Linked DNA regions of Yarrowia lipolytica. The main gene of each other region encodes a partner of the protein of the gene in region 2 in a complex. Links are inferred from orthologs where the notes say so. Each region holds a gene or a part of one and is shown on either strand. Other genes may lie near its edges.

Evidence for each region.
Region 1: YALI1_E13808g (region 2) and YALI1_F04001g share a complex: the UniProt entries of both Schizosaccharomyces pombe proteins name them as parts of the spliceosome. The link is inferred for Yarrowia lipolytica from reciprocal best matches to the Schizosaccharomyces pombe genes usp101 and frg1.

Annotation. Positions count from the first base shown.
Region 1 is NC_090775.1:397,466-402,722, reverse strand, and holds YALI1_F04001g (uncharacterized protein), read right to left. Parts: upstream 2,614-5,257; coding exon 1,711-2,613; downstream 1-1,710. Other genes in the region: YALI1_F04027g (uncharacterized protein), read left to right, coding at 1-1,503; YALI1_F03992g (uncharacterized protein), read right to left, coding at 2,813-3,487; YALI1_F03974g (uncharacterized protein), read right to left, coding at 4,190-4,897, 5,256-5,257. UniProt on the Schizosaccharomyces pombe protein: May have a role in processing of pre-rRNA or in the assembly of rRNA into ribosomal subunits. May be involved in pre-mRNA splicing.
Region 2 is NC_090774.1:1,378,574-1,384,167, forward strand, and holds YALI1_E13808g (uncharacterized protein), read right to left. Parts: upstream 2,230-5,594; coding exon 1,192-2,229; downstream 1-1,191. Other genes in the region: YALI1_E13787g (uncharacterized protein), read right to left, coding at 1-170; YALI1_E13818g (uncharacterized protein), read right to left, coding at 2,663-3,277; YALI1_E13823g (mitochondrial 54S ribosomal protein mL43), read left to right, coding at 3,725-3,849, 4,040-4,337; YALI1_E13848g (uncharacterized protein), read right to left, coding at 4,969-5,594. UniProt on the Schizosaccharomyces pombe protein: Involved in nuclear mRNA splicing. Essential for growth.

The sequences.
Region 1 (5,257 bases), on a different chromosome or scaffold from region 2:
GCCATTTTCTACTCCACGTTCCATCCCACCGAGGGTCCACGAGTCGAGGTTCAGGTGCCCCGCGACTCGATTGTGCCTGATGCCGAATCTCTGGATCAGCCCGGAGCTCTGGTGGCCTTCAACGCGGTGAAAAACTACGTCATCCCCAAGCCGCCTCTGTGCAACCGCGTCGTAACCATTAAAAGTAACGCCTACCGAGTCTCTTCGTACCCGGTTCACATCTACTCCAACGAGTACGCGCGAAACTCGTTCATTTTCAACTTTGCATTCGTCTTCAGCTACGAGTCAGCCTCGGGAGCCTACGATGCAGCCATCAGACGGATAGGCAAGATGTTCGAGGCGCTGGAGATCCAGAGCAAACTTCTGTCGGCCCGACCAGACATTGTCTTCATCGACAATATCATCCAGCAGCTGTTCCAGGACCTAAACAACTACTCGGAATGCCTCGTGGCCATCAACGACTCCAACGCCATCAACATTAAACTGTTTCCCATTTTCCCGTCGCCTCCAGACCTCAGAGCGTCGTACGTTCCCATAGCAACTGTACGTCTGGAACAAATGGTGGACGAAAACTGGGATCCCACCATGGAGAAGATTGTGCCGTTTATCAATGGGATCAACTCCATTCGTCGGATTGCAGACCTCGCAGATGCAGACTACAACCTCACCAAGGATTGCATTCAGCAGCTCATGTACTACAGATGTATCATCATCGTGGACCTGTTCCAGTTCTCCAACATTTACGCTCCCACCTCAGACATTGGAGATTTCATTGAAGACGCAGATATGGGTCGAGAATGCCAGGCTTATGTCTTTTCACCTGCAGGAACCCTCGGGGGCATGATGCCTGCTCCAGGACTCAATAGAAAACGACACATGTCACGAACCAGCTTGTTTTCGAATGAACTCTCAACTTCTTTCAGACAACGATATGAGCGCCAGATGAGAGATCAAAGTGGGCACTTGAGTATTCCTCCTTTGTCTTCGTCGGCCACATCTGCATTGTCTACCTCATCATCATCGTCTCTTTCTCAGCGGTCCAACTCGTTCTCTTCTTCTCACTCCATGTCAGGAACTGTTCCCTCCGTTGTACAACTGTTCAAGTTGTACAAGTCGTTGCATCAGGGCCAAACTCTCGGCGACTGGTATGCAGAGAACCAAAAGGAGCTCGTCAACATTGATATTCGGCGCTTCATCACCTTTGGCGTTATCAAGGGTATTATTTACAGAGCTCATTCATATCCCATTTTGGAAGGCATCACTCCTTTCAACAGAAACAGACACGTGCAGGACGTTTCCGCAACTCCTCGGGGAGGAAGACGACGAGTGGGTCTGGGCCCTGATCAGGAGCGAATCAAGAAAGAGGAGGTAGATGGAGTCCTGGCCAAGCTCGTAAAGCAGCCAAAAAACTTTGACGCTATTTCTACAGCTTTACAGCTGCCCAAGGAAGATGTGGAGAAGGTACTTAGTTCCGAAGGTGAATGGGCTATTGTGACGGCGTAAGGAGATGATTAGTTAGTTTTTATTTATATGCATATGTCCAAACCAAACCACAGAAACGAGTACAAGTATTGGAGGATAGGTGTTCACGGTAGAAGTCGAGGGTAGTGAGGACCAGAAGCTCGTGGGAGACAGGACGGAACACAATATGGCTTATAGATAGGGAGTTTGGAGTTTTTGGTAGTTTTTGGCACTCGCATAACCAGATTTCTAGCAATACGTATCACTCTTGCCTTTCTGTCTCAGGTCCAACAAGGCCTCGTTCAGATTACCCTCCTTGTTAGACTTCTTCAACTTGACAACCTCATCAGGATCAAGAGATCTTCCAGCACGCTCCTCCAGGGCCTTTGTACTCATGGCATAGTATGTCACCGCCTGTTTTTCGGCCGTGGTCTTCTTTCTGTGAGACGATTGAAGTCTTACTGTGAACTTTGATGCTTTTGCTCCATCTTCAGTAAGGTTGATCTTACCGTTCTTGATCTCAATATAAGCATCATAGGACGTTTTTATCGTCCACGAAACCCCCGCGTCGCCTTTTTCTCTTTTGAAAGTAAACTGCTGCGGAGTACCGATGGCAACACTGTCCAGCGAGACTACTCCAGCCTTATCCACGCCCAGAAAGACGCCCAGAGACGGAACTTTGAGAGCAAACCTCGCCACCGTCTCGTCGATATCAATTGTCCGTTTATTTGTGTCGAATTCCAACGGCGAGAGAAGGAGAACTTGCTGTGTAGATGTCGGTTCAGCTGTGTCGAGACTCTTGTCAACTGTATCGAGGTCGAATGATACTGCCATTGTAGGAGAGTGGGTTTTGTCTTCTGCGTCGCCGCTATTTTCATACACAAAACAGCATGGCTTGCCTTCACTGGTAGTCACCAACAAAGTGGGTCCATGGAATTCTTCTGACGATTTGGCCGAGATCCATCCCGCTGCCTGATCGTCTTCAACTGGGTCGATTCTGGGTCGTTTTTTGTCGCTGCCCTTGGACGAGCTTGCCTTGGGCTTCTTTGTCTTCTTGTCGCCTTTGAACGAGAGTTTTTTGACCATTTTGGAGACTCGTCGTGACTCTTGATGGTGATGATGTTGTGTTTCAGTTTGAGATGTATCGTGCATTACTGTGCATTGTGAGACGATATATTAAAGGCACAACAAAAAAAAAAGAAGAAAAAAAAAAAAAGAAAAAAAAAGGAAGGAGCTATTATAACTACACCAACAGCAATTGATTTGTCTCACCCTACTTGAAAATTTGTAGTACTTGGAATTGATAAATGTCTACTCAAATCCACTGAAGACTCTACCATCATCTATCGCATCACAACTTGGCTCTAGGAGTAGCCCCAATCTCCTCAATATCAATAAACCGCTGGAGACCCAGACGCTTAAACTCCGAAATGCCCTTGACCAGATCCTCCTCGCTGTATCCGGCCCGTCGAAACGCCTCGCCCGGAGGCACAGTTCTCCGTCCGTCCTTGATGACGTACTTTGTGATGGCTGTCGCCGCGATGGTGGGGTTCTTGGGGTCGTTCATTTCAAACTGGCTCTCGACAAAAAACCACTTGTGGTCCCATCCAATGACTCGCGACACCATGGTGTATTTCTGGAACGGGGCAATTTCGTTTTTGAAGTTGCAGTAGACGGATCCGATCGGAATGAAGGCCCACGAGCCATCGTTCTTCTTGGAGTCCTTGAGGAACCGGTTGAGCACCCACACAATGAGCTTGGTTCGGGCGCTATCGAGATCCTCAAAGTACGTGGCGTTACTTTTGTGGATGTTGATGTCCAGCTCCAGGAGGTTGCATCGCGAGTCGTAGCGGCATTCCTCGAACGGCGTCTTCGGCAGCTCGGCTTCGGGGTACCCCAGCAGGTTTTCCGGTAGAAACAGGTACCGGAAAAAGTAGTAGAAGAAACGGACGTGCCAGGCGAAAAGCAGGTTTTTGGCATTCACGCCGAGATACGCTGCCAGGGCGACTTTGGCGAGCGAGTTCATGTGCAGGGAGGTGGCAACAAGAGCTCTTCCAACTCGAGCAACTTCCTCTTCCCCATATTAAATATGGTTTGGAGCACGGACCTAACGGCTGCATCCACGCATTCCGAGGGGCACATGAAAGCTGAGACAGCGGGGTAGGGTCTGAGATGGAACGAAATAAGCGAAATGTGGGGGACAGTACAAAAAGATATAGATATAGAGTGTGATATAGTTATGGATGGGTAATGAAACTACGGCACTTTTACAATGTCGTCATCTATGCGGTTTTCACATACATCTCCTGCTTGTATAGATATTCAATACTTGTACTCCTTAGATCACGCCGTCACATGTCTCCAAGTTAGACTAAAGCCGTTACAATATCTCCATAGGTTTACACACTTGTAGTCCAAGTTAGTCTAATGAAACCCAAGCTAAAGCAGAGACACCGTTATAGAACTACCCCACCAAGTCTCACCTGTCTTCACGTGTTAACAGTTGTATATCGGCTGATGACATATCAGAGCCGCGTACAGTATGTACAAGTAGTTGCTACAGCAACATGATAATATATCTTGTTAATGCGATATTGGTTATTTGGTGCAAGTAGTTCTTGTATATTGCCTTGAAGCAGTGTGTTGTAGAAACAATGGCTACGCTTGGACTTGTGTGTTCGGACTTGGGTGTTCGGACTTGTGTGTTAGGACATGTGATTGAGACGTGTTACGTGAGATCCACATACCGCGTCTGATCCAAATGCTCTTCTCTCAAATCCCACTTACTCTGGATCCTCAAACGTTCTTGTTTTTCCACAGGCTCGCCCTCAATAATGCTCATCACCTCCTGGTTCAGCCGATTGAACAGTCCCACACTGACAAGTTTGACGCCCATGGGCTCGGCTCCTCTAGGGAGCACCACATCAGCGTGTTCCTTGGTGCTCAGGATGAAGTTGGACATCTCGACTCGCGAGTGAGTAAAGTAGTCATCCAGCACCTCGGCCAAATTGGAACCAGAAGGATCAGCCTTCTTCTCCACGAGCCGGCACAGACGAATGTCAGCGTCACTATCGACAAAAATCATCATGCTGCTCAGCCTGCGCAGATCCTCGTCGTACAGAGCGTAGTAGCCCTCGATCAGCACCACATGGGGCCAGTTGGGGTGGTATGTGTCGACATAGTTGCTGAGATTGTGTCGTGACTCGTTGTAGGTGGCTGTCTTTGAGAACTCCAGGGCACCAGCCTCAATGTTGAGCACACTAAGCTCATCAACATCCTTCTTCAGACGAGCAATGTCAAATCGACGAGGATGATCGTTGTATTTGGGATCGTGGCCGGGGTATATGTAGTCGTTCATGTGGATGGTGTGCACCTTTGGTTTTCGGAGCTTGCCTAGCTCGCCGATGCGTTCTTCGACGGCTTTGCATACCTCTTTCTAGATTAGTAACGGTAGTGAATGGCCGTATGACATGAGTTGAGGCAGCAGCTTTAAAGTCACTCAGACGACAAGTTGTAAACAATCGGCACACAGCTGGGCCGGATTGAGCTGGACCGGTAGTCTTCGAGACAAGCATCCACATCGGCTTATAGGCTAGATGTATATGAGCTGAAGACGTGACTGCCGCAATGGAGATCACAGTCAACAACTGAGTGATACAGATCAGCAACAACGACTTGTCTTTATCATTTCCTCGATGGCCTGTTTGCAAGACCACCGACGACAACGTGCATCTCAAATCCTGATTTGCTACTTTTCACAATCCATTTCCCCCTTTTAGACCCGTAATACTCACCT
Region 2 (5,594 bases):
TCGTCAACAAGGAAGTCCACCATCTTCTCTTCTGCTCCAGAGTCACTGAACCAACATTCTCCAGAATCGTTGGGGTTTTCGGCGTAGTTGTTCTTCTCGAGGTTGTAAAATTCGTCCCAGTACTGTTTGGTACCGAGCTTGGACGAGGTGAGCTGCTCAACGTCAGACATGGATTGTGGTTTTTGTAGTTCAAGACGATCTCAAACTTCTCCGATATTGAAATTTCATGCATCTCCGAACTTTGATTGAATCTACTCTGACGGTTTTCATATACTAATAGCGGATTGGTAATATTACGAATGTAAGACTGGTTCATTTTGATTTCTACCACAGTTAACAAGGGGAAAAAATGAAAAGAATCTTCAAAAAACAAAAAACATATTGCAGGAATCAAACCTGCTTGTTTGGAACAGCATGATGCTGCCATCACCCAGAATCGAACTGAGGTTTCCACGGCCACAACGTGGTGTACTAACCACTATACTATGATGGCTTAATAAAAGCTTTAGTGGAGCTAATTTTTGTGCTACATTATCCAAAATCTGATTCAGGGTTAGGGCGAAAATGAAACTTCAAAATGTAGCCCTCTAAAAAGTGGTTCCATATTTCGCCTACAAAACATGTCTGATCCAGATCAGAGCAAAAAGAATAGGCACTTGCCATCACCCAGAATCGAACTGAGGTTTCCACGGCCACAACGTGGTGTACTAACCACTATACTATGATGGCTGGTTGTGTGACCGAGGCTCACTAGGTTTGATTTGGGCGCCAAAACAACTTCTGTAATTGGGAATATATTTTGGTCTACGAGGACAAGTATAACAGCCAGAAGAACAGAAATATCCGTCAGAAGTGTTTGATATGCAATTTGTTTGACGACATTTAATGTGGTGTTTTTTGAGGCCATTTACTGCGCAGCTCTTTCATAAGTGTGGATAATACTGTAGTAATGGGAAAGAAATTAAGAGGCTGATATACTAGGGTGAGTGGAGCCAGCAGTCTTCGTCCGTATCATACCTTTTCCCTAGAAGCAAGTGTTGAACTTCCTCCGGCATATCTTTTCCATGCTCTATTACTTACATTACCATCAGTTGACTACAGTATGTGCATACTTGTATTACCATCTCATCTGAATGCGCAAAATACTATAATAATACAGCTATATATTTACATGCCGTGTATACCTTCAGCCTAATAATACTTTGTAGGCTCTCGTCCTCCTCTGTCTCCTCCTCTGTCAGCTGGCCCTCTTCTGAAGTCCCCTCTATCTCTTTCTCTTCGAGGAGGACTTCTGTCTCTGTATTGAGGTCGTCGTTCTCGATCCCGGTCACGAGGGTCTCGTTCTCGGTCTCGATCACGTGGATCTCGATCTCGGGGATCCCTGTCTCTGAAATCTCGTCCTCCTCGACCTCCGCCCCGTCCTCTGAACGAGTCTCTGTAGTCTTCCGGAGGTCTGGATCCTCTAGGGTCTCTTGATCTGGGCCCACCTCGGTCTCTGTGTCCTGGAAACAGATCCCGTCCTCCAGCTCCTCCCGGTGGCATTGGTGGACCGAGCGGTTTGCGTTCAGACTCCTTTGTGTAGTGTCTTCCGCCTTTTCCTCCTCCTAGTCGTCGAGGAAGCCATCCACTGACCGTACGGCCTCTCTCGACGTCAACCACCACTTTTCTGCCCTTGATGATCGATCCGTTGGTCATCTGAAATGCTTTTCGAAAATCGTCTTCCTCCTGGAATTCGACAAACCCATATCCGTTGCTCTTGCCGCTCTTTAGATCCCGTACAATACGTACGTGTTTGACAGGCCCAAACTTGATGTAATGTTCCTCCAGGTCGTTTTCAGTCACGTCGAACGCCAGACGCGCCACAAATAGCGTCTTGAACGGATCGCCCACAATCTTGTCGTCCTTCTTGGGATCCCATGCCTCTTTTCGTTCCTGCTGGGTCACCTTTTGGCGCTCACTTTTTAGCCGCTTCTCTCGCTGCTGTTTGACCAGCCACGACTCGGTCGGCACGTATTCCGAATCGGGCTGCTTCAACAGCTCCATATACGCCGAAACGCCTGAGATTTTCTGCGTTCTTCGGTCCTCAGGAGCATAGTCGATCGGCTCCAGGTACCGTGGCTCGGGACACTCGGGGAAGAGCCGCTGGATGTGAGGGGGTAGCCGTTCCAATTCAGCCTGGGTTAGCCTTGTTGTTGATTGCAGAGCAAATGTCGCGCAGATACTCACCATGATTATGGATGCTGTTAGTGTGTGTAGTGATGTTGATGGTCGTGATGTTGGTTTGAAATATTAGTGTTGTGCATCAGAAGTTTATCTGACATCGTGAGTAGGGTGAAGTGAGATGGGATTGAAGAGAGTTATACAAGAAAGGTAGAGAAGAAGTAAATACAAGGGGAAAGCGAACAGAATATCGTCGCTAGTTTGTTTTTCTAGGTTTTTTTTTGGATATATTCTTCTGAAGAAGACTTTTCAAGACGTGATCGAGTTTTTCAGACCTACAGTGTGCCCCAGGAAGAATCAGCGAGCTACAAGGCTGTTTGCAATAACAAGTACACTGTACTTGTACTATACTGACCATCCGCTCATACTACCGTCTCCACCCTCCCCTTGATACACAAATAAATACTTTACTATATACATTGCTGCTCTTTTGTCCTTCTAATCACAGGTCAGGAGGAAAGAGAGCAGCAGCAACAAGACCGGGACGCTCGGTGGCCAGAAGATCAAAGTTCTTGGCTCCGTTGGCACTGTCAGAGATCTCGACGGAGATTCCCAGAGAGTTGAGATAGTTTCGGGTCTTGGGCGACAGCACTCGCGACTTCTTTCCCAGGCCGAAGATGAGCAGCTCAGGACGAGGGTAGACAACCTCAAAGACACCCAGTGCAGCAGGATCGATTTCAACCAGACCGGTATCGAGACCCTTGACGCACTCGGGAGTAAGGTTCCAGGCCAGCACCTCAGAAAGGCCCATCAGAATGGCTCCAACGGGCTTCTTTCCGCTGGGAGACTTGCTCTTGAGCACCTTGTCGTCCTTGAACACAAAGCCGTTGGAAAGCACGGCCTCCACGTTGTTGTGGGCCGTCTCAAGATCGCCGTAGAGATCGTATTCGGCCAGAGCTCCTCCAGGACGAGCAGCCGTGTTTTCGAGCTTTCGCTTGGTTCGCTCCATGGGTCCCTCGCCCTTGAACCACGGGTTTTCGAGCTTGACGTTTTTCGCACACACCCGAGAGGTGTGGATCGAGCGGGACAAGATTCCGACGGCTCGTGTTCGCAGCATTGTTTTTGTCGTGAGAGCGAGTGAGTTGTGGTGTTCAAGACGACTTCAGCTTGGTCTTGATTCGCTCTGCATTGGAACCTTGTTGATGACTTCAGTGGCGGTAGTCGAAAGAGGCGGGAGAAGGCTAAGTAAACGTTTGACAATTAGCTAACTAATAAATGCCCCAACATTAGTAACTGTATTTGGCTTAGTTGAACTCTGAAGGGCAGATCAATACCCCCTCAAGCTCTTCTAATATTGGTAATTATTGTATGGAAGAATCCACACTGTCTCTATTGTTGTTTTTCTTCCATTTAAAATGCTCTCCTTCATATTAATTGTCTCTCATTACCAAGAATTACTCCTCCCCCCCTTCGGGCCTCCACAGTTACCCTACCTTTGCAAAATTACAGGAGCCTAAACGCAACGCACAGATCAATCTGAAATATCTACATTCAACACACAAAAATGTCGGCTCGACCAGCTTACCAGACTGTTGCCCGAAACCTCAACGGTGTCGGCAACTTTGTGCTTCAGTGCAAGAAGGTCACTTTCCGGTACTGCAACTGGGGTGGCTCTTCCGACGGAATGAGGTGAGTATCACAACGGGGAACTGAACTGTGACTTGGACACGGACATAGATGGAGGTACAGACATGCCAGTGGCACAAGTGGGGTGCTAGATGAAGAGCAGAATGCTACCCAGTGCGTGTGGTGTGACGTGTCATCTTTGTTTGGTCTTTGAATTCAGACATCCACCGCGTCTCAGATCACACTAACACAGACAATACCTGGACAAGAACCTGCAGAAGATTGCTGCTCAGAACCCCGAGATCGAGTTTGTGGCTGTCAAGGACATTGGCCACCCCTTCATCCGAGGCGAGTTTGTCAACGGTGCCGAGAAGACCATCTGCTGCAAGAACAAGCATCCCCGATTCATCAACGGCAAGTTTGAGATGCTCAAGAGCTCCGACGGAGCTCCCCGAAAGCAGATGAAGAGCCCCGTTGAAAGTATAAACGAGAGTGTCCGAGGTATCTGGTCTCCTTACCATACCGACCCCAAGGCACGACACAAGATTTAAATGTACATAGTAAATTATAGCATAGCGAAAGATGGTGAAAGAGCGAAGGACAATGGCCGATACGAATCGCCATAGTAGAGGTATGGAGCGAATGGTGGTGTGCAAGTGGCTTTTATACCATAACGGTTGTGACACAGTAGAAGCTCGTTTGTTGAATTGTGCGGCACTCCGACGATCTCTAACTACGATATATCGTGGAGCGCAAGTGAGAAGTACTTGTACGAGGCAAACAAGCGGTTGTACTACAAGTGTTCGTACGAGTACAGTACTCATAAGTACAGAACTTGTACCAACTTGTATGAAGTCACTCAATTACTATAGGGATGAACAGAAACACAACTACTGGAAGCAAAAGGGAGTGAAAGGAAACAGAACAGAAAACAGAAACAGAAACAGAAACAGAAACAGAAACAGAAACAGAAACAGGAAACAGAAACAGAAGCAACCTGAATGTTGTCAAAAGGATACTTGTAGTAGATTCAGCAAGGTGCAAGGTAACATCAACCTCGGCTACAGTAAACTTGGGAACTTGATTGAAGCTGTGTACATCACACAGTCTGGAATAACTTATTTCTATGCGTGCCTTTCCTCCGTCTATTTTACATGCCCAAAGTGGCTGCTCTCTTGTATCTTATGCTTTGTGTTGGGGGTCGAGCTGGTCTATGTCAGCCTCTCTATCATGACAGAAGGGATGCTCGAGTGCCTGTTCTGGGGTCATTCGCTTTTCGGGGTTGAGTGCAAAGAGCTTGTCTAATAGATCGATCAGATGGCCCTGTAGGATGATATCTGATCCGGTCTCTCTGCATTTGCCCAGCAGCTTTTTGACAGGCAGAGGAGCCTGGTTTTGTGTGTATCGTAGTGTATGTGTGATCATTCGTCCAGTATGGGGGTCCACTTCGTCGGACTTGAAGTCGAGGTTCTCGTCAAAGTACTTTTCCGTCAGCTTGCCTTTTTTAAGCTGCTTGTGGCTAAACTTGCCTCGCACGTCCATGATACACTTGATCATGTGGTTGTTGGACGAGCCTGCAAACAGAATACATCCGGTGTACAGCTCGTAGAGAGTGCATCCAGCGGACCACATGTCGACTCCGTAGTCAAAGGGCGCGCCCAGAATGAGCTCGGGGGCCCGGTAGAACCGCGATGCAAGGTACGGCATGGGTTCCGTCCACGCCTTTTGGTCCTTGTTGGCCTCCACGGCCGAACCAAAGTCACACAGGCGAGTGGACGACCGTTTGGCGTTGACCAGCACATTATCTG